3 linked regions of the Canis lupus familiaris genome follow. The protein of the gene in region 2 purifies or fractionates together with the protein of the main gene of each other region. This does not show direct contact. Links are inferred from orthologs where the notes say so. Each region holds a gene or a part of one and is shown on either strand. Other genes may lie near its edges. The genes, in order: PRPF8, SF3B1 and SNRNP200.

What was found.
Region 1: the proteins of SF3B1 (region 2) and PRPF8 purify together in Homo sapiens (affinity purification with mass spectrometry; 5 studies listed by BioGRID and IntAct, with this or other methods). This does not show direct contact. The link is inferred for Canis lupus familiaris from reciprocal best matches to the Homo sapiens genes SF3B1 and PRPF8.
Region 3: the proteins of SF3B1 (region 2) and SNRNP200 purify together in Homo sapiens (co-immunoprecipitation; 4 studies listed by BioGRID and IntAct, with this or other methods). This does not show direct contact. The link is inferred for Canis lupus familiaris from reciprocal best matches to the Homo sapiens genes SF3B1 and SNRNP200.

The regions. Positions count from the first base shown.
Region 1 is NC_049230.1:45,769,474-45,775,978, forward strand, and holds the start of PRPF8 (pre-mRNA-processing-splicing factor 8), read right to left. Parts: upstream 3,949-6,505; 5' UTR 3,799-3,948; exon of another isoform or gene 3,612-3,798; 5' UTR 3,601-3,611; coding exon 3,501-3,600; exon of another isoform or gene 3,456-3,500; intron 2,870-3,455; coding exon 2,701-2,869; intron 1,587-2,700; coding exon 1,422-1,586; intron 1,329-1,421; coding exon 1,110-1,328; intron 995-1,109; coding exon 782-994; intron 656-781; coding exon 530-655; intron 442-529; coding exon 336-441; intron 1-335. UniProt on the Homo sapiens protein: Plays a role in pre-mRNA splicing as core component of precatalytic, catalytic and postcatalytic spliceosomal complexes, both of the predominant U2-type spliceosome and the minor U12-type spliceosome.
Region 2 is NC_049258.1:6,838,189-6,844,693, reverse strand, and holds the start of SF3B1 (splicing factor 3B subunit 1), read left to right. Parts: upstream 1-2,751; 5' UTR 2,752-2,882; coding exon 2,883-2,910; intron 2,911-6,505. UniProt on the Homo sapiens protein: Component of the 17S U2 SnRNP complex of the spliceosome, a large ribonucleoprotein complex that removes introns from transcribed pre-mRNAs.
Region 3 is NC_049238.1:34,656,484-34,662,888, reverse strand, and holds part of SNRNP200 (U5 small nuclear ribonucleoprotein 200 kDa helicase), read right to left. Parts: intron 5,289-6,405; coding exon 5,205-5,288; intron 5,111-5,204; coding exon 4,937-5,110; intron 4,474-4,936; coding exon 4,336-4,473; intron 4,092-4,335; coding exon 3,936-4,091; intron 3,410-3,935; coding exon 3,239-3,409; intron 752-3,238; coding exon 558-751; intron 2-557; coding exon 1-1. UniProt on the Homo sapiens protein: Catalyzes the ATP-dependent unwinding of U4/U6 RNA duplices, an essential step in the assembly of a catalytically active spliceosome. Plays a role in pre-mRNA splicing as a core component of precatalytic, catalytic and postcatalytic spliceosomal complexes.

The sequences.
Region 1 (6,505 bases), on a different chromosome or scaffold from region 2:
AACTTAGTTTAAACCAAGCACTTTACTGACATATCAAAGCTCAAAGGGAACACTAAATAGGTAGTTCAATTTTTATTTAGTAACACTTCAGCTACAGTCAGCAAATTTCTCTTCAAAGAACTAAGATCTTGGTAGCCCGGGTGACTCAGTGGTTTAGCGCCGTCTTCAGCCCAGGGCCTGAACCTGGAGACCTGGGATGGAGTCCCATATCAGGCTCCCTGCATGAAGCCTGCTTCTCCCTCTGCCTGTGTTTCTGCCTCTCTCTCTCTCTCTCTCTCTCTCTCTCATGAATAAATAAAATCTTAAAAAAAAAGAAAAAAGAACTAAGGTCTTACCTTGACAGAGTGCCTGTGAGAAATTGGGTTGATCAAAGGATCAAAGTAGAAAGCTGGGAGATCAGGATCCTCAGTTTTGATGAACACAACATTAGGAGTGTGGTACCTAAAATAAAGGAAGAGTAATAAACTCAGGTTCTCCTGCCCTGGCCCAATATCCTCTCCCCCCTCTCCCCCTTTGCTCTAGCTCTCACCAGGTAAGGTGGACATGGTGTGGAAGGTTGTTGTACAGATAGGGAAAAGCAATCTTGTATTCAGTGCGGATAGGCTGCCGGATGATGATCTTGTTAATATCGTTGAATTCATTCCAGTCTTCATCCCTAGGGTACATTATCAAGGATGAGCAGACTAGTTGGGGAGTTTGGAAACTACAATGGCATCTCAAGGATCAAGATTAGATTTTACTCAATCCGAGGTGCCTATAATCCCTAGTATCTCCAACTTACTGGAGGTTGATGTCTCGAACAAGAGGTTCAAATTTGGGGCCTCCAGGAATGGCCATATTGAGTGCCTTGGACGTGAAGAAGGCTTTCAGATCAAAGAGATAGAAGTAGTTATCATCTACCAAGTCTGTCAGGAGCTGATTGGCCAAGCGGTATAGAGTGGACATCATGGGCAGTGTGAACTGCCAGCGCTGGTAAGTGGAACCATTCACGTACCTAGGGAAAAAAGACAGGCCTATGTCAGGTAGCCAAGCCATTCTGTCTATTGCTCACCCAGGACTCCTGGCCTTCCAAAACTTTCACAGGAGTGATAACTCCAACCATCACTCACTTCCGACTATCCCTCAATGGCTGGTGGTCATAAAACCAGTCCAACACAGGAGCATCCTCTTCAGGGTCCAGCTCTAGCTGAATGGCCTCCAGTGGTTCAACATCCAAGATATTGTCAGCATAGTCCAAAGGTGGCTCCTCATCATCAAAAGGGGGGAAACGCATCCTCTTGAAATGCCTTCTGTCTCTTTTTTCTCGACGCATCATAATCCACATTGACCTAAAAGCCAGCAATTTCACACTATGGTTTCTACCCGCTGCCCCCAACCAGCACCCCCACCATCAACAACAACCATATTCTAGCCCTTCTCACCCCCACTGGGAGATGTAGACAGGCTCAATGACCCAGGGAATCTCATTGACAAAAGAAATGGCTCCAGTGATGTGGTACAGCACAGGTACATCCCGAATCTGCTCCCAAGGCATAGGCATGTTCTCCAGCAGTTTGAGGACTGCATGGGGCATGTATTTCAGGGCACTGCAACATTAGGGAGAGAGAAGATTATAAATGACAAAGCTGTTGTTACCTGTGCCATGCAGAGAAGCCACATGGTGTCATAGTACCACATTCCACAGAAAAGTCTGCCTTACAGTCCAAACTTAGCATACAGGAATCCTGTCTCTCCCTCTGCAATTGTGCCAGTCTTCCTCTTAAACTGCACAGTTCCAATATTGGGTTTCTGTCCCTCTGTATCAACAACTGTCCCTCTAAAGACAGCTTTTGAGCTATTACACATTCTATACTATCTTCCTATAAGTAATAATGAAATATTCATCATAAAATACTCATCATTATACCCATCTTTCCCACATCTGTCAGGCCACTAGACTGTAAGATCCAGAAAGGCCATTACTGCCTATTCATTGCTATATCCCTAGCACCTACCACAGCTTTCAAAATAATATTTTTTATAAACAAACATCTATGGCTCCTTTTTTAAAGATTTATTTGAGATAGAACATGAGAGACAGCACAAGCAGGCCCCCCGCTGAGCCGGAAGCCCAATGTGGGGTTCCATCCCAGGACCCCGGAATCATGACCTGAGCCGAAGGCAGACGCCCAACTGAGCCACTCAGGTGTCCCTTTGTTTTTCTTCTTAACGACAATATTACAACAGTTTATTAAGTGGCTAACGTTTTCCTGTCCAAATGGAAAAGAGATTTACTAAGGCACTTATACATGTATTCACTCAGCTTGGGGCCACAGAAAAGAGCATAGAAGCCTCACGAATTAAATATCCTGAACCTCAGGACTAGTCACTGCTAAGTTAAAGGCAACAAGAATGTAGTGTCCTATTATGGGTTTCAACCCATTCAAAGACGGGCATCTTATAGCTCCAACAGGACAAATTAATGTCAGGTCAAGAAAAAAACTCAGGGCAATCAAGAGAATAACTAAAGATCTGAAAGTTATCACAGAATCCTAGTTTTTTTTCCTCTCTCTCTCTTTTTTTATAACCACCGAGATGGGGTGTCATAGAGGATTCCTGTCCCAAAATGACAGAGCAGCTATCCAGGACTGCAACCTATGGGACAAGGATAAGGAAGAGGGACCAAAGTTGGGAATGAAAGAATTCCAAGAGGTTCCTTACCCCAAGTAAACCCTTTTGTCATGGCGAAACTTCCTGTTGGTCATGTCTCCATGGTCTCGAATGATCTTCCTAACGTGTTCTGGGGGCATGTCTTCTTTCTGAGCATCCACAAATCCAAACTTTCGCTTTTCTGCATAGCGCTTGGCCTGTAATTGCTGCCATTTTCGGGCTACAAAGACACCTCAGTTTATTTATTTATTTTTTATTTATTTATTTTTATTTTTTATTTATGATGGTCACAGAGAGAGAGAGAGAAAGAGGCAGAGACATAAGCAGAGGGACAAGCAGCCTCCATGCACCGGGAGGCAGACGTGGGATTCGATCCCGGGTCTCCAGGATCGTGCCCTGGGCCAAAGGCAGGCGCCAAACCGCTGCGCCACCCAGGGATCCCGACACCTCAGTTTAAATAACTGCACACTCTTAGTTGAATCAGTCCCATGTCTTGCCACAGGGTAAGCCCCTGTCAGGATATAGGAGTTAGGGGTGGGCGTAGAACAGGAGCACTCTTTGCCAAGTCTCTTATCTCACTGTGCTTTATTTTCCTTTATCACATTTATGATTGTCTGACTTTTTTTTTTTTTACAGATTCTTAAGTTTTGTTTTGGTTTTTTTTTTCACTGCCTGCAAATAACAGACACCTCTGCACACTTAATTAGATGACAAAAGGAGCCAAAGGTGAGTTGACACCTAATGCTCTGACACTTGCCAAAACGAGTTAAGGAGGCAAACCCGCTGCGCGCACGCGCACAGCCGCCCTAAGCCGCCGGGCCCACAGGCGCCCTCCCGCACGCGTTCTTCACCTTTCTCTTGCAGCTTCTCCTCCGACATGTAGTCCGGCAATGGGGCTAGAGGGCCGGGCACCGGGTTACCCGGCCCTCGGTAAGGAAATACTCCAGCCATTCCCGGAGAGTCTGGGGGACAGAGAAAGAAAAAATGTAACGAGAAGCGGCGCTCGAGCCCAGCAGGAACGCGCCGACACCGCGGTCTGCAGTCCCGCTGTGCTCAGAGTACGTCCAGTCCGGCCCATCCCGACGTCCCGGCCGTCCAGCCCGACCCCACACGCCTCCCGCGGCCCAGCCCTTGAAGCCCACCACGCACCCCCACAGGCCCTCACACAGACGGCCGCTTTCTTCGCAGCGCAATGGCGGCACTCCTACGTCTGTCGCGCGTTCCCAACGCCGGGAAGTACGCAACTCTTGTTCAGCAGTTGACCCAATAGGCGCCCGTGTGCTCAGACGGATTAGAGAGCTCACCAATTAGAATACGTGTACAAGCGCCGACGGGGCCAGAGGGGGCGGGTCCATAGGCGGAAAGCTTAGAACGCAAGAGGGTGGAGTCCGGTAGGCGCTAGCCCCGCCTCCCGCTTTTTTCAGGCTGCCTTAGAGACCTGGAGTAAAGGGACCTCGCCTTCCAGTCAGCAACTGATGTCCTATCAGGCAAAGACCCTATTTTTTTTTTTTTTTTCAAAATTTTTTTTAATTTATTTATTTATGATAGTCACAGAGAGAGAGAGAGAGGCAGAGACACAGGCAGAGGGAGAAGCAGGCTCCATGCACCGGGAGCCCGACATGGGATTCGATCCCGGGTCTCCAGGATCGCGCCCTGGGCCAAAGGCAGGCGCTAAACCACTGCGCCACCCAGGGATCCCGAAGACCCTATTTTTGAAAAACAAATTTGTTAAAATCTGCACATTACACTGTGTCTACGTTCACAAATGTAGACTTGAGGTCTGCGAGCTCCGAGTCCATCAGTCCTTTTCTTCGTTCATACATTCATTCATCAAGCCATCATTTACTGAGTGTTCAGTATGCATTAGGGATTGGAATTGCAGCAGGGGAGAAAGCCAAGCTCCTGGAGCTCATAGAGAGGCGGGGAGGTCAAGTAACCCAAAATCTAGGCAGCCCGGGTGGCTCAGCTGTTTAGCGCTGCCTTTCAGCCCAGGGCGTGATCCTGGAGACCCGGGTTCGTGTCCCTCGTCAGACTCCCTGCATGGAGCCTGCTTCTCCCTCTGCCTGTGTCTCTGCCTCTCTCTGTCTCTGTCTTTCATGATTAAATAAATAAAATCTTAAAAAAAAAAAAAGTAACCCAAAATCTTACAATGCAATGTGATGAGAATTTGGGGTAGGGCATTTAACCCTGGCTGTGAAGTCAAAGGGTTAGAATATGAACTTAGGGCAACTCGGATGGCTCAGCGGTTTAGCGCCGCCTTTGGCCCAGGGTGTGATCCTGGAGACCCGGAATCGAGTCCCACATCAGGATCCCTGAATGGAGCCTGATTTCTCTCTCTGCCTCTGTGTGTGTGTGTCTCATGAATAAATAAATAAAATCTTTTTTAAAAAATAGAAAATGAACTTAGAAAAATAAAGAAGCCGTAGGGAACAGAATTGCTCGGTGTCCTTACCTCTCCCTCTCCATTCCTCTTCTCTCTGGCAGTGATTACATTATGGAGTATATAGTGGACACCTTATAAATGCTTCTCGTTTCTTTGAGGCTCTGCCTATGTCTTGCTGCCTGAATTGCGCTGATATCCTGCCATCCTTGTTCCACTTTCTATGTCTTATTCCATCCCAACAACTTTAAATCTTAGTCAACAGGTAAGTTTGTTTGAATTCACACAGTTTATTGTGGAGGATGCAGAGGAATTATAACCCACACACCCTCTCAATCTAGTTGAGAATTTAGGACTCAAAAGTGAAATAATTAGAGAAAAATGCAAAGGGGAGTTCAGGCAAGGGCTGGCTGGTGTGGAGGTTCACACAGGTCACAGAAAGGAGAGGAGCATTAGTAAAGATTTGATGGAAATGGGTGGATGTGGAGGATTTATCCCATCAGGGATAAAGAAAGTGGAAGGAAAAAGGAACCCCAGGTGGTGGGAACTGCTAGAGTTGGGAGTTTAGAAAGAAGAACCAATATGGCATGCTCTGAAAACAGCCAATCAGCCTGGCAGCAGTAGAAATTCCACCATCATCATTATTATGTTCGTCATTGTCATGAAGTTCTTCAATTTGTATAAGGTTCACTTCTGTGAACTTGTGCTAGGTATTGTTCTAAACCCTGGTAATAGGGGATCCCTGGGTGGTGCAGTGGTTTGGCGCCTGCCTTTGGCCCAGGACGCGATCCTGGAGACCTGGGATCGAATCCCACGTCGGGCTCCTGGTGCATGGAACCTGCTTCTCCCTCTGCCTGTGTCTCTGCCTCTCTCTCTCTCTCTCTGTGTGTGACTATCATAAATTAAAAAAATATTTAAATAAAAATATAAATATTCTGTAAAAAAAATAAAAAATAAACCCTGGTAATATCCTAGCATAGTCTATAGTTTTGTTAAAAGCACCAATATCAGGATGCCTGGGTGGCTCAGTGGTTGAGTGTCTGCCTTTGGCTCAGGGTGCAATCCCAGAGTCCTGGGATTGAGTCCCATATTGGGCTTCCTGCATGGAGCCTGCTTCTCCCTCTGCCTGTGTCTCTGCCTCTCTCTGTGTGTGTATCTCATGAATAAATGTTTAAGTAATCTCTACAGTCAGTGTGGAGCTCAAATTCACAACCCCAAAATCAAGAGTCCTGCTCTCCACTGACTGAGTCAGCCAAGTGCGCCTGTACTTTTTCTAGACAGCATTATTGAGATATAATTTGCATTTTATAAAGTTCACCAGTTTAAGCTATACAATCCAATGATTTTTATCATATTTATAGAGTCATGCAATTATCATTACTATTTAGTTCCAGAACATTCTCATCATCACAAAAAGAAACCTTGTACCCATTAGTATTCACTGCCCATTTCCTCCTATTCCTCAGCCCTAGGCAA
Region 2 (6,505 bases):
TCCCTGCATGGCGCCTGCCTCTCTCTCTGTCTTCCGTGAGTAAATTAAAAAAAAAAAAAAAAAAAAAAAAAAGACATTGGATGACATCACTGTTAATTGTCTAGATTACAAAAGACCAGATCACCTTTTCTAATTTTTGAAACAAAAAGTTTCACCAGAAAAGGGCAGGAAATGTATTTTAAATGATATCTGAGTATTATTTATTAATATTGAAAGTGGAAAGTAAAAGGTACTTGTTGAAAAACTTACTTCCTGTCTGAATGTCCAAGTCATTGTTTTATTAAAGATAAATTAGTCTTTAGAAGACTAAAAGAAGGGAATCTCCTTTGGCAAATTTTCTCTTTCCTCACTATTCCATAGGGCCTTTGCCTTACAAAAGTTAACTTAAGGGCACCCCCGGTGGCACAGCGGTTTAGCGCCGCCTTCAGCCCGGGGTCTGATCCTGGAGACCCGGAATCGAGTCCCGTGTCGGGCTCCCTGCATGGAGCCTGCTTCTCCCTCTGCCTGTGTCTCTGCCTCTTGGTCTCTCTCTCTCTCTCTCTCTGAATAAATAAATTAAAAAAAAAAAACTTACAAAAGTTAACTTAATACCTAGTAACCTAGAGAAATATGCATGTAATAATACAAAGTGGCCAGCAGATGCAGCTTCTATCTTAGAATGAAAAGGACATGTGACACCTTTGCACATGCTTTTCATTTTTTTTTTTTTAAATATAGTTTATTTCTAGAAATCTGTACACCCAATGTGGGGCTCAAATTTACCACTGTGAGATTAAGAGTCGCATGTTCTTTCAACTGAGCTGGCCAGGCATTCCATCTTTTAATATATTCCTTTTGTGTATTATAAAAATGTGCTTATAGCAAAGTATCTGGAAAATACTAAAAATTATTTTTAAAGTTCATAATTTCACCAGTCATAGGCATCCACTATTAACACTTTGGTGAATTTCCTTTGCATATATTTTGACAGGACAGTGATTGTCTTGTATATACAAATTTACCTTTCTTCTTTTTTCTTTTTTTTCTTCCTATTTTTAAATAAGAGCCAAGAAATGCCATGTCCTTGTGATTCTTTTTGTCAACATGGATTTTTTTAGATTGTTGATTATTGATGGATCATAACACCCTTCTGTAATTCTTTATTTCCCATTCATCCTTTTTTCATTATTTTAAAACATGCTATTTTATATATATAAAAGAATATGTGCAATCTATGTGTAGGTTATAAACTATGTAAGGAATATCTGTGGGCACTCTGCCAATTCAACAACTAGAGTTTACCAATAATTCATAAAATTACATGTTCTTGGGACGCCTGCATGGCTCAGGGGTTGAGTGTCTGCCTTCAGCTCAGGTCGTGACCCCTGTGGTCCCTGGGATCCAGTCCCATGTCAGACTCCCTGCAGGGGGCCTACTTCTCCCTCTGCCTGTGTCTATCTCTCATGAATAAAATCTTTTTTTAAAAAAACAATCTACATGTTCTCTTAACCCTTTCCTCCCTCAACTATTGTTTAACCTAAATTAAAACAATTGAAAATTGAAAATTTTCTCTCATCAAATTGATTTTTTTCATTGATACTAAGTCCCATTTTTGTTACTAAAGTTTCTACTAAATACTCATGTTGTGATCCTGTTACACAGCCAGGCAAACGTTTTTGGTGATAGCTCTAACCTTAATCCTTACCTGTTTCCTTAGGCTGCTTCCTGTACCAACTTCCCCTCAAAGTTATGTTCTTTTTTAATCCTAAAGTCCAAGGCCAGTGTGGCAGTTCAAAATTATGCTTTTGTAATTGAGGAGTAGGCAAAAAAAAAAAAAGAAAAGCCATATTTGGAGCTTTTAAAAATTCCTGATTCAAGAGTGACATTTAGGATTAAGAGAGGCATTCCAGGGATCCCTCGGTGGCGCAGCGGTTTGGCGCCTGCCTTTGGCCCAGGGCGCGATCCTGGAGACCCGGGATCGAATCCCACGTCGGGCTCCCTGCATGGAGCCTGCTTCTCCCTCTGCCTGTGTCTCTGCCTCTCTCTCTTTCTCACTGTGTGTCTATCATAAATAAATAAATAAAAATTAAAAAAAAAAGAAAGGCATTCCATCAGTGTTAATGCTGACAGCCAGTGGTTTTCTAAGAACCTATGAAATTAAAAGGCTTTAAAAAAGGACGGCACAGTTCCTCCCGGGTAATTCAGTAAGGGTGTGACCTTGCATATTTTATTTACACCCCCGCCCTAGTTTTCCTCTCCTTTCTTAAATGGGATTAGCAACAACTCGCCCACTTTCCTGGGTTGTTTGTGAGGTACAACAGTGTCTGGAAATAATAATGTTGTGCACGAAACTCCTACCCAAATGGCAAGTAATTCTTTAAGAAGAAAGAAAAATGACCTTGAATTTCAGCGCGAAGGACGTGACTGGTGTGTGTCTCCACAACTACCCACTGCAGCCGCTGAGAGACGCCACAGGAGCTCTCGCCTGGCACCGACACACCTCCGCTCGACGTGGAGGACGAGAACTGACGGCCTGAGGCTTCGGACGGGCCTGAAATCCAGCGTCTCTCGCAGTGACTATCAGCGGGTCCTCGCACAACCCACTTCCCTCCAGAGCAGTCGCCGTCGCCCCCGCCCCCGCCCCCGCGTCAGGACTCGCTTAGCCCTCCTCCTCCCGCCACCGCGAAAACCGCCTCCGCGCCGGGCCCTGGCTCCTCCCCCTCCCCCACAATGCATCGCTCTGTTCCCTCTAGGCGGCTGCTCCGTCACGTGTCGCGCGGCGGCGCGCGCCCCCGCTTGGCGCACGCGCAGAGAGCATTCCCCAGCTATTTTTCTCCGTGGCAGCGGCGGCGAGCGGAAGTGCTGGGGAGCGCCAGTTCCGTCTGTGTGTTCGAGTGGACAAAATGGCGAAGATCGCCAAGACCCACGAAGGTAAGGCGTCTTCCCGTGCTCCCGCGTCTTCTCTGCTGCCAGCCTGCCAAGACTCGATTTTACTCGGTTTTTGCCTCGGCCTGTGGTTTCGTTGGTGGGGTGCCGCGCCCGCGCGTGGGGGCCCTGGTCGGCTCCTCGGCGCTAGCGGCGCAGGCCACTGCCCCACGTAATGGCGTCCTACTCCTCCACCGCGGGCAGGCGCTTTGTTCCGCGTTTGGGTCCTGTTCCTTCAGAGTTGCTTCTCTTTTCCGAGCGGAAGGCCTCGTTCAGACGGCTCGCCGGGGGGGAGGCCAGGGCCGCGAATCGGGGAAACGGGCGTGAAAGCCGGGAGTCGCCCTCGCCTCACGGAACTGTGGCGGGCGCAGTTCGTGCCCGGGGGAGTCGGGGGAGCCCGGGAACACGGCAGCCGCTTTTCGGCAGCGCCAACTCGAGCGTAGCCTGCTTGAGGCCCGTTCCTCTTCGTCTCGGCTAATCAGGCATCTAAAATACTTTTTTTTTTTTTTTTGTATGAAGTGATTTGGACATAAAATCTGGTAGTTTTTTCTTCCCGTGATCACTTGTATATTGGTGTTTGTTCCCCACCCCCCCCCCTTGGAGACTGATGATTGGTGGAAGAGGGAAAGGCACGTTATTATTCCCAGCGGTCAAAGCTTTCGAGGTACCTGATCGTTTTGTGGAATTCGGAGAACACGGAATTTAGGAAAATGCTGAGAATAAGCCGGAGTTCTTGAGGGAGTATCCAGTTTCCAGAAATGACAGGAAATAGGGTCACTTCAGAGAAGATGAGGCATGGGCATTGGGAGGCGCGTTCCTTAGGATTTTTTTTTTTTTTTTCTGACCTGGAATCTGAAGCGTTCGTCGAACGGGAGGCTTCCAGGAGTCATTTGTATTTTCACGGGTCGTTTCCAGGTGCTGGCTCCGTGTGAGTCCGAAGTAACAAAGAGTAAGGCCGTGCAAAGTTTTACAGGCTCCTGGGGAGACAGGTGTGTGTGTGTGTATACGTTTTCATTCTTTCATGAGGCAAATTAACGCTTAAATAGAAATACAGGCCGCATGTTCTGGGATTCTGGGTAACGGAGTGATTAATTCCTGCCTAGGTAGGACTCTTCCATAGAGGAGGTGACGTGTCCCTGGCCTAAACGGATCAATCCGTTTTAAATTAGGGGAGGACATTTGAGCCTGAGAGGACATCTTGTAACGAGGCAAGGAGTCCTGAAAAGTGTGTTTGAGTAGTGGACTGTGGCGCTGCAGGGAGGGAAAGTGTAGGCGAATCTGGAAAGGTTGGTTGGGACCAGGATGTGAATGCCCTGGAATAATTGTGTTCCCCGCCAGAACTGAAGTCCAGCTCTCTGCGACATGCTAATTAATGGGCAGTGACTTTAATACTCTTCTCGTTGTGGGGGTAGGTATTTAGGATTTATTTATTTATTTTATTATTATTTTTTATATTTTTTTATTTATTCATGAGATATTTTTTATTTTATATGAGATATATATTTTATTTTATTTATTTATTCATGAGAGACACAGAGAAAGAGAGGCAGAGACACAGGCAGAGGGAGAGGCAGGCTCCCCCACAGGGAGCCTGATGCGGGACTCGATCCCGGAACCCCAGGATCACGCCCAGGGCCAAAGGCAGGCACCAAGCCGCCGAGCCACCCGGGCTGCCCGGTATTTAGGATTTAAACACTGTTTTAGCCCTGAAGGTTGTTTAGGCACTTACTCTTCTGTCTTTAGACTAATCCGGATGTAACCTTTTGCAAAATAATTAGAAACTGAAGATGTTGCTCTTGTTTATTCAGGAGTAGGCTGTTCATTGGGGGCAGTTTGTGGCTTTGATCACTTGTTTGTTGATATTTTTAATCATAAAGATACTTTTGGACAGGGAAATCAAGGTTTGGATCAGGTTTCCTGCTTTTTTGAGACTCAATTAAAAGCTTTGGTCTATAGAAGATTGAAGTTGATTGGCCAAGTTTGCTTTTTTATTTGGAATCTTGCTACAGTATGAATTAACTGATGCTATAAAGAAAGTATAGCAGTATTCAGTTAACAACAGCACTGTGTATAAGACAGTCTGTCACTGTGAGTTTTTGGTAAAGGATGATCAATGTTTAGTGGAAATATGCATAATATTTACATAGAGATACTTTCCTAAAGATCTGGAATGGTTCATGGTGCATCTCTTCTCTTTTCCCTTAATAAGTCATCTCTGATAGCCTGGAGCAGATTTCTTGGTGGGTTTATTTATTTATTTATTTATTTATTTACTTACCTAGGTGCTACTGTAGCTCTTTATTATACTAGAATATTCTATTGTGTTAAGGTTTTTTAAAAAATATTTATTCATGAGAGAGAGAGAGAGAGGCAGAGACACAGGCAGAGGGAGAAGCAGGCTCCATGCAGGGAGCCTGACGTGGGACTCCATCCCGGGTCTCCAGGATCACGCACTGGGTGGAAGGCGGCGCCAAACTGCTGAGCCACCCGGGCTGCCCAAGGTTTTCTTATCCACGTTGAGACTGATGTGTACAGGAACTATTTCTTGGTATCCCCAGTACCTAATGCCTAATGAGTACTGAGTATTAACATTTATTGAGAGATTATATTGGAAATATTAAAAGTTTCACAGAAAGGGGCCGCTTAAACTCACTTTTGAATGATTGGGTAGGTTTGGATACATTGTTTGGCTGAGGTAGGTGGGAAGTAGGACTTGTTAATGTATTGGGAACCTTCTGCGCTGAGAGGAAGAAAGGTTTGCATCAAATTAAAGAAAGCTTTGAACTCTAAGTTAGGCTTGACTTGGCTTTCCAGTGACTACAGAATAAAGTACCTACTTCTCCCAGGTGACAAGTTATTTCTGCATTTTGGGAAAGTCTTTAGTTGCAGTGTTGAAGAGTGGCAGTAAGAGCAGCAATTCTTAAGCTAGGCTTGAGTTTGAACCTCACTGTAGTAACTTTAAAAATGTATATTCTTTGATTTTTGTTTTAGAGTTGTCCATCATCATGTGGTGTGTGTGTGGTTTTTTTAAGCTATGGTCTTTTTTTTTTTTTTTAAGATTTTATTTGAGAAAGGGAATAAGAGACAGAGGGAGCACAAACTGCACAAACGGGGAGAAGCAGAGGATAAGGGAGAAGCAGACTCCCCACTGAACAGGAAGCTGTAATGTGGGCTCAACCCCAAAATTATGACCTGAGCTGAAGGCTGACGCTCAACTGACTGAGCCACCCAGGCACCCCATCTTGTTGCTTTTTTAAGAAGATTATATAATCTTTTTATCCTAAGTAATATTGCTAGTAAGGAGTTTTCTTTGTTGTATTTTTTTCTTTGTTGTATTTTTAAAAAAGATTTTATTTGTTTATTCGTGAGAGACAGAGAAGGCAGAGACGCAGGCAGAGAGAGAAGCAGGCTCCCTGAAGGGAGCCTGATGTGGGACTTGATCCCGTAACTCCAGGATCATGCCCTGAGCCAAAGGCAGATGCTCTACCGCTGAGCCCCCCAGGGATCCCTGTAATTTAGTTTTAGAGTAATTGCTGCATCAGTAATTTTTACTTGAATTTTGTAAATTAATATTGTATTCAAAGTGATCTAGGTAATTGTA
Region 3 (6,405 bases), on a different chromosome or scaffold from region 2:
GCTAGAAGTTCAATAGTTAAACATATTAGGCTTCTAGCACAGAATACTGAGGAAATAAACAGTCATATTTGCTGCCCAGGAACGACATTCCTTTCTAGATTCACACCACATCAAAACTCAAAGACCGGGACACCTGTGTGGCTCAGTGGTTTAGCACCTGCCTTCGGCCCAAGGCATGATCCTGGAGTCCCAGGATCAAGTCCCACATCGGGCTCCCTGCATGGAGCCTGCTTTTCCCTCTGCCTGTGTCTCTGCCTCTCTCTCTCTCTGTCTCTCTCATGAGTAAATAAAATCTTTTTTTTTTTAAGAAATCTTTAATAAATCTTATTTATTCATGAAAGACATAGGCTGAGAGAGGCAGAGACATAAGCAGAGGGAGAAGCAGGCTCCTCGCAGGGAGCCCAATATGGGACTTGAAAAAATAAAAAAAGAAAGAAAGAAAGAAAGAAACCAAACCCAAAGACCCTTCTAATACCCAATCCAACAAAGCTCCCTGAAAGGGGGATAGGGCAGCAGGAAGGTCACCCTGGTTAAATTTCTCCCATCTTCTCTCATACCTATTGTCGAAGTAAAAGAGGCCCTTGGCAGGATCCACACGCAGGAAGGTAGCCACGTCTTCATAGTTGGGGAGGGTAGCACTTAGACCAATGAGTCGGACATCCTCCTGAGTCATCTCAATGTTTCGGATGGCCCTGGCCACCAAAGCTTCTAAGACAGGACCTCTGTCATCGTGGAGGAGATGGATCTCATCCTAAGTAATGAAGGGGCTACAAATTATCTCCAGGACTAGAAAAATGTGGTCCTCTTTCCTGAAAATAGTCCCATTTTGTGGTATATACCTCATATGCCAAATAAAGAAGAAAAGAGCAGGCAAGAGAAACCCAAAGGGTGGGACAACATTCACTGTGAAATACCCTGGAAAATATTCTCCTGTAACCACTGAGAGCTGCATTGCTAATTTAGTGAAACATATGCTTAATGGCAAGAAAATCTAATACTTCAGGTAAATGAGTTCATCACTTCACTCAAAGACAAATTTCTTGGGTAGCTCAGTGGCTGAGCATCTGCCTTTGGCTTGGGTCATGATTCCAGGGTCCTGGGATCAAGTCCCTTATCAGGCTCCCCACAGGGAGCCTCGCTCTACCTGTGTCTTTGCCTCTATGTCTCTCATGAATAAATAAAATCTTAAAAAAAAAAAAAAAAGACATTTCTTTACTAAAAATGAAGCTTCTAAGCAGATCATATTTATATCAAAGAAGGTTTCACCTCTGGGCAGTTATCCTTACTACTTTGTACTTGCAAAAGATATCATGAATCAAATGATGAGCTCGCATATCCTAAGGTAATGCTTCTTAAATTTCAGTATGCAGCATGGGATCTTACTAAAAAGCAGATTGTGGGGTACCTGAGTAGTTTAGTTAAGCACCAAATTCTTGATTCCAGCTCAGGTCATGAGCTCAGGGTCCAGAGATCAAGCCCAACGTGGGGCTCTGCACTCAGCGTGGAGTCTGAGATTCTCTCTCTCTCCCTCTGCCCCTCCCCTGGCTCACACTCTTTCTCAATAAATCAATTAATTAATATCTTAAAATAAATCAATAAAAAGATTATATTTCAGTAGGTGTGGGATGGGGCCAGGGACTCTGCACTTATTAAAGACTTTGAATAGTGAGGCTCCAAAGCGGGGGTTGACAAACTTCATAAAGGGCCAATCAGGGACACCTGGGTAGCTCAGTGGTTCAGCCTTTGGCTCAGGTTGTGATCCCAAGGTCCTAGGATCAAGTCCTGCATCAGACTCCCTGCAGGGAGCCTGCTTCTCCCTCTTCCTATGTCTCTGCCCCCTCTGTGTCTCTCTTGAGTAAATAAACCTTAAAAAAAAGGGGGGGGGGGCAGACAATCAGTATTTTAGGATTGTAAGCCATACAGTCTCTGCTACAAATAAAACTGACCCCTGTACAATGCAGGAGTTAGGGGTGTCCTACATAGTCGAGAATCTGCTTATAACTTCAATTCTCCCAAAACTTAACTACAAATAGCCTACTCTTTACCAGAAGTCTTACAATAACATAAACAGTTGGCGAACACACATTCCATATACATTTTATATACTTGTATTCTTACAATAAACTAAAATAATGTTATTAGAAGTATAAAAGTATAAATATGGGCAGCTCCAGGTGGCTCAGAGGTTTAATGCCGCCTTCAGCCTAGGGCAAATCCTGGAGACCTGGGATCGAGTCCCATGTCAGGCTCCCTGCATGGAGCCTGCTTCTCCCTCTGCCTGTGTCTCTGCCTCTCTCTCTGTGTCTCTCATGAATGAATAAATAAAATCTTAAAAAAAAAAAAAAAAAGTATGAATAACACGTTTACAGTATGGCACTATATTTATTTTTTTTTAAATCCATATATAAGTGGACCCATGGAGTTCAAGCCTGTGTTGTTCAAGAGTCCACTGTACTTACTTCTGTAACTGCAGCACAAAAGCAACTGTAAACCATACATAAATAAATGGGTATGGCTATAGTCCAAAACCAGTAGCTGCAGATTGCCAACTCCTGCTCTAGGATATTGAAAATCTACGTACAAGACCTCCGTCCTGTTCTCTAGACAACTTAAAGAAACTACACTCAGACTCAAAGTCATTTTTGCCTGGGTGCTTCTGCATGTATGGAACACAATATCCTGATTCCTTAACTCACTCTGTCTGAGAATGGATTATTTATTTATGAAGCCCTTTAATGTCCTGGGAAGACACAATTAGTTATGTCTGTTTACATTTGTTTTAAAATATTTCAGATAAAAAAAAAAAAAAAGCTATGAAGAGCAAGGAACGTGGCAAACACCATGCACCTCCTCAGAACTATTTCAATTAGATGCATTTTCTCATTTAATGATTACAGCAATGCTGATAACGGCTGTCATTATACAGGCTAGTGACTGGAGGAAAGCACTGAAAAAATGGTCACCAATAAAAGCCAGCAAACCAGGGGCATGTGGATGGCTCAGGTCATGATCTCAGGGAATGTGGTGAGATCAGGCCCCATGGCAGGCTCCACACTCAGTGAAGAGAGTATGGATTCTCTCCATCTGCCCCCTGCCTCCCCCCAACTCACCCCCAACACCCCCCTCCTCCCATCACTTGCTCTCTAATAAATAAATCTTTAAAAAAAACAAACAAAAATTCCAGCAAACCCTTCTCAACCAGGCCTGGCCTCTATGTCCCCAAGTACTCCCTGCTCACCAGAATGATAAGCCGTACAAGCTGGGTGTATGTGCGCTCCCCACCCTTGCGGGTAATGATGTCCCACTTCTCGGGGGTGCAAACGATGATCTGAGTGGCGCTGATCTCCTCCTTGCACAGCTGGTGGTCACCAGTCAATTCTGCAACAGTGATGCCATAGGTGGCCAGGCGCTAGGTGAAGGAGAGGCAGGTCAATCAAAAACACTGCAAAGGGGCCTTGCTATCGCACTTTGGGAAGTCTCAGAGTAGGATACTGGAAGGAGGTATCAACCCAACAGAGAAATATCAAACGAATTAGATTGATCATACAAGCGCATATATCTAAAACAAATCAAGTTCACACTAAGGCAAATGAAGCAGACAGAGGATGTCTGGGACTTCTGCACACAAGGGGGAATGGAAACCTGTAGATAACAGGACCTGGAATAATACCACCAGATCTATTATCAACCACATCTTGTGAGTGTTTCATAAATTCTTCAATAACATCAATTATTACAACTACAGAATACTGCTATGGAAAGAATTAAAAAAAGATGCTAAATCCTTGTAAAAGTCCAAGACAGGTGCAAGACATTCTTGCTCCAGTAACACTCTGAACTCGGGTCAAGTTCCACCTTGAAGTGGAAGAAAACCACTGGATGAGGCATCCCAGGAATGATCTAACCCCCACTCCCAGTATCTCTCTACCCCTTACCTTTCCAAAACTGCCCACCATCTCCTGCACTAGAGACCGCATGGGAGCAATGTAGATAATCTTGAAGTCATCCACGTTGATGGTGCCATCCATGTTAATGTGCTTCCCTATCTCTCGGAGCATGCACATCAGGGCCACGTTGGTCTTACCTGCACCCTAAGACAGAAGTTGAGGATGAGAAGGTCTGCTTACCCGCCCTCACTACCACAGGCTTATCACCAAAACAGACACTAGAGCATGTCCTGGGATGGTAGGATATCCTACCATTTAACATCTCTTCCATCAAAGAAAGAACTCCGGTGGGGGGGCAGGGGGTAGCATATGGGTGAAGATGAACAATCTTGCCATCAAAAACATACACCACTTTCCACAAGAACAAAGCAGCCAGGGCAGTGCTTACAGTAGGGGCGCACAGCAGCAGATTCTCATCTGTCTCCAGAGCAGCACGGTAGAGTTTACTCTGGATCCGATTTAATGTTTTGAAGCCCTCAAATCCAGCCTGGGCATACTTCGGGAGCTTCTCCACTGGAAGCAGTTGCTAAAAGAGAGAAACAAGGATGCCTGGGTGGCTCAGCGGTTGAGCGACTGCCTTCAGCTCGGAGCATGATCCTGGAGTTCCAGGATCGAGTCCCGCACTGGGCAACCTGCATGGAGCCTGCTTCTCTCTCTGCCTCTCTCCTTCTGTATCTCTCATGAATAAATAAATAAAATCTTTAAAAATGAATGAATGAATGAATGAGAGAGAGAGAAAAATGCCATTCACATTCTGCTGGCAGCATCCTTGAGCAAGCTGTTTTTGTGGGACAGCCAGGACTGCACTTCCTGGCACCCTCCCTGTGTCACTCTCCACTGTCCCCTAGGCTCACAAAGTGGGAAAACTCTGAAACAGCTTCCACATCAGGGAAAAACTATGAAGCAAGATCACATTTTGGCCAATGGGTTGAAATCCAAACTGGAAGAGAAGTGAAAACAAAGAAAATGGAGAAAAGCAATTCACTCACTTCTTCGGAACCAAAGGGCTTGGGCTTCAGAGCAGGCACATGCACCTCTTCATAGCCCTTGCGCTGGCGCCGGAAGGACCCATCAGGAAGCTGACAACGTTTATTGGCCATGAAGTGGCTCCCCTGGGTAAAAACCAGGTCCTCCAAGTCCAGAACCTGCCGTGGAGCCAGTGCCTAGGAGTATGAAAAACAAAAACCCAAAGTGAGCAAGGTGAACAAATGAGCTTTTTCCATCTAGCACCACCTTGGAAATGAACCCAAGACCTACCTCTCCACCCTGGTCCAGATCCATGGTTTCCAAGTCTGTGTCCATCCGGGACTGACGCACTCGCTCTCTCCGGGACCTTTCCTCCTGTAACAGAGAAAGGCCCAAAGAATAACAATCCATCACCATTGAAGGTTCTGGTCCCTTTTGGTCTCTGCTTAACTAAGCTTGACTCATGGGTGCTGACCAGTAAGTCCCAAACTAGAAAGACCGTCCTTTATGTTCAGACATCTGCCATCGGGACCACCAGAATGATGGAAGCAAGCAGTTTTAAAGGGACAACGGGGACACCTGAGTGGCTCAGCAGTTAAGTGCTTGCCTTTGGATCAGGGCGTGATCCCGGATTCCCAGGTTCGAGCCCCACAATGGGCTCCTTGCATGGAGCCTGCTTCTCCCTCTGCCTGTGTCTCTGCCTCTCTCTCTGTGTCTCTCATTAATAAATAAATATTTTTTTAATTAAAATAAAAAAAGTAAAGGGGCAATGCAGGGGCACCTGGGTGGCTCAGTCAGGCATCTGACTTCGGGTCAAGTCGTGGTCTCAGGTTCCTGAGACAGGGGCCCGCATCAAGCTCCCCGCTCAGCAGGGAGTCTCTTGTCCTTCTCCCTCTGCCCCTCTCCCCACATGTATACATATTCTTTCAAATGAATAAAATCTTAAAAAAAAAAAAAAAAAAAAAAACTTTCCTCTTAAAAAAGAGGACAATGCATAGCACAGGGATTTCAAAAGTAGATGTTCAACAATTCAGCACCAAGGGCTAACCCTAAAGATAGAAGTGTAGGTTCTATGTTCAGCCAACATATGTGTTCTATCCCTGCATTTTCAGTACATACCATTACTTATTGTGTCAAGGGCCCATGTGATGGGCCCATGGTGCTGTTGAAGACAGCAACAGGCTAGCAGTCTCTTGACCACAGCACTCTGAGTGTGTTAACTCTAATCTGTACTAGGGACAAACCTCAAAGAATTCAGAGAAATACTTTACTTCTTCAAACCTTCACTTCTACTATGAATTCAGCTTTATGCTACAATTTTCTTAAGAAAGGGCAAGAGTGCACATGAGTGGGAGAGGGACAAGGAAGAAAGAGAATCCCAAGCAGACGCCACACTCAGTTTAGAGCCTGACATGGAGCTCAATCTCACGAATCTGGGGATCATGACCTGAGCCGAAATCAAGAGTCGGACACTCAACCAACTGAGCCACCC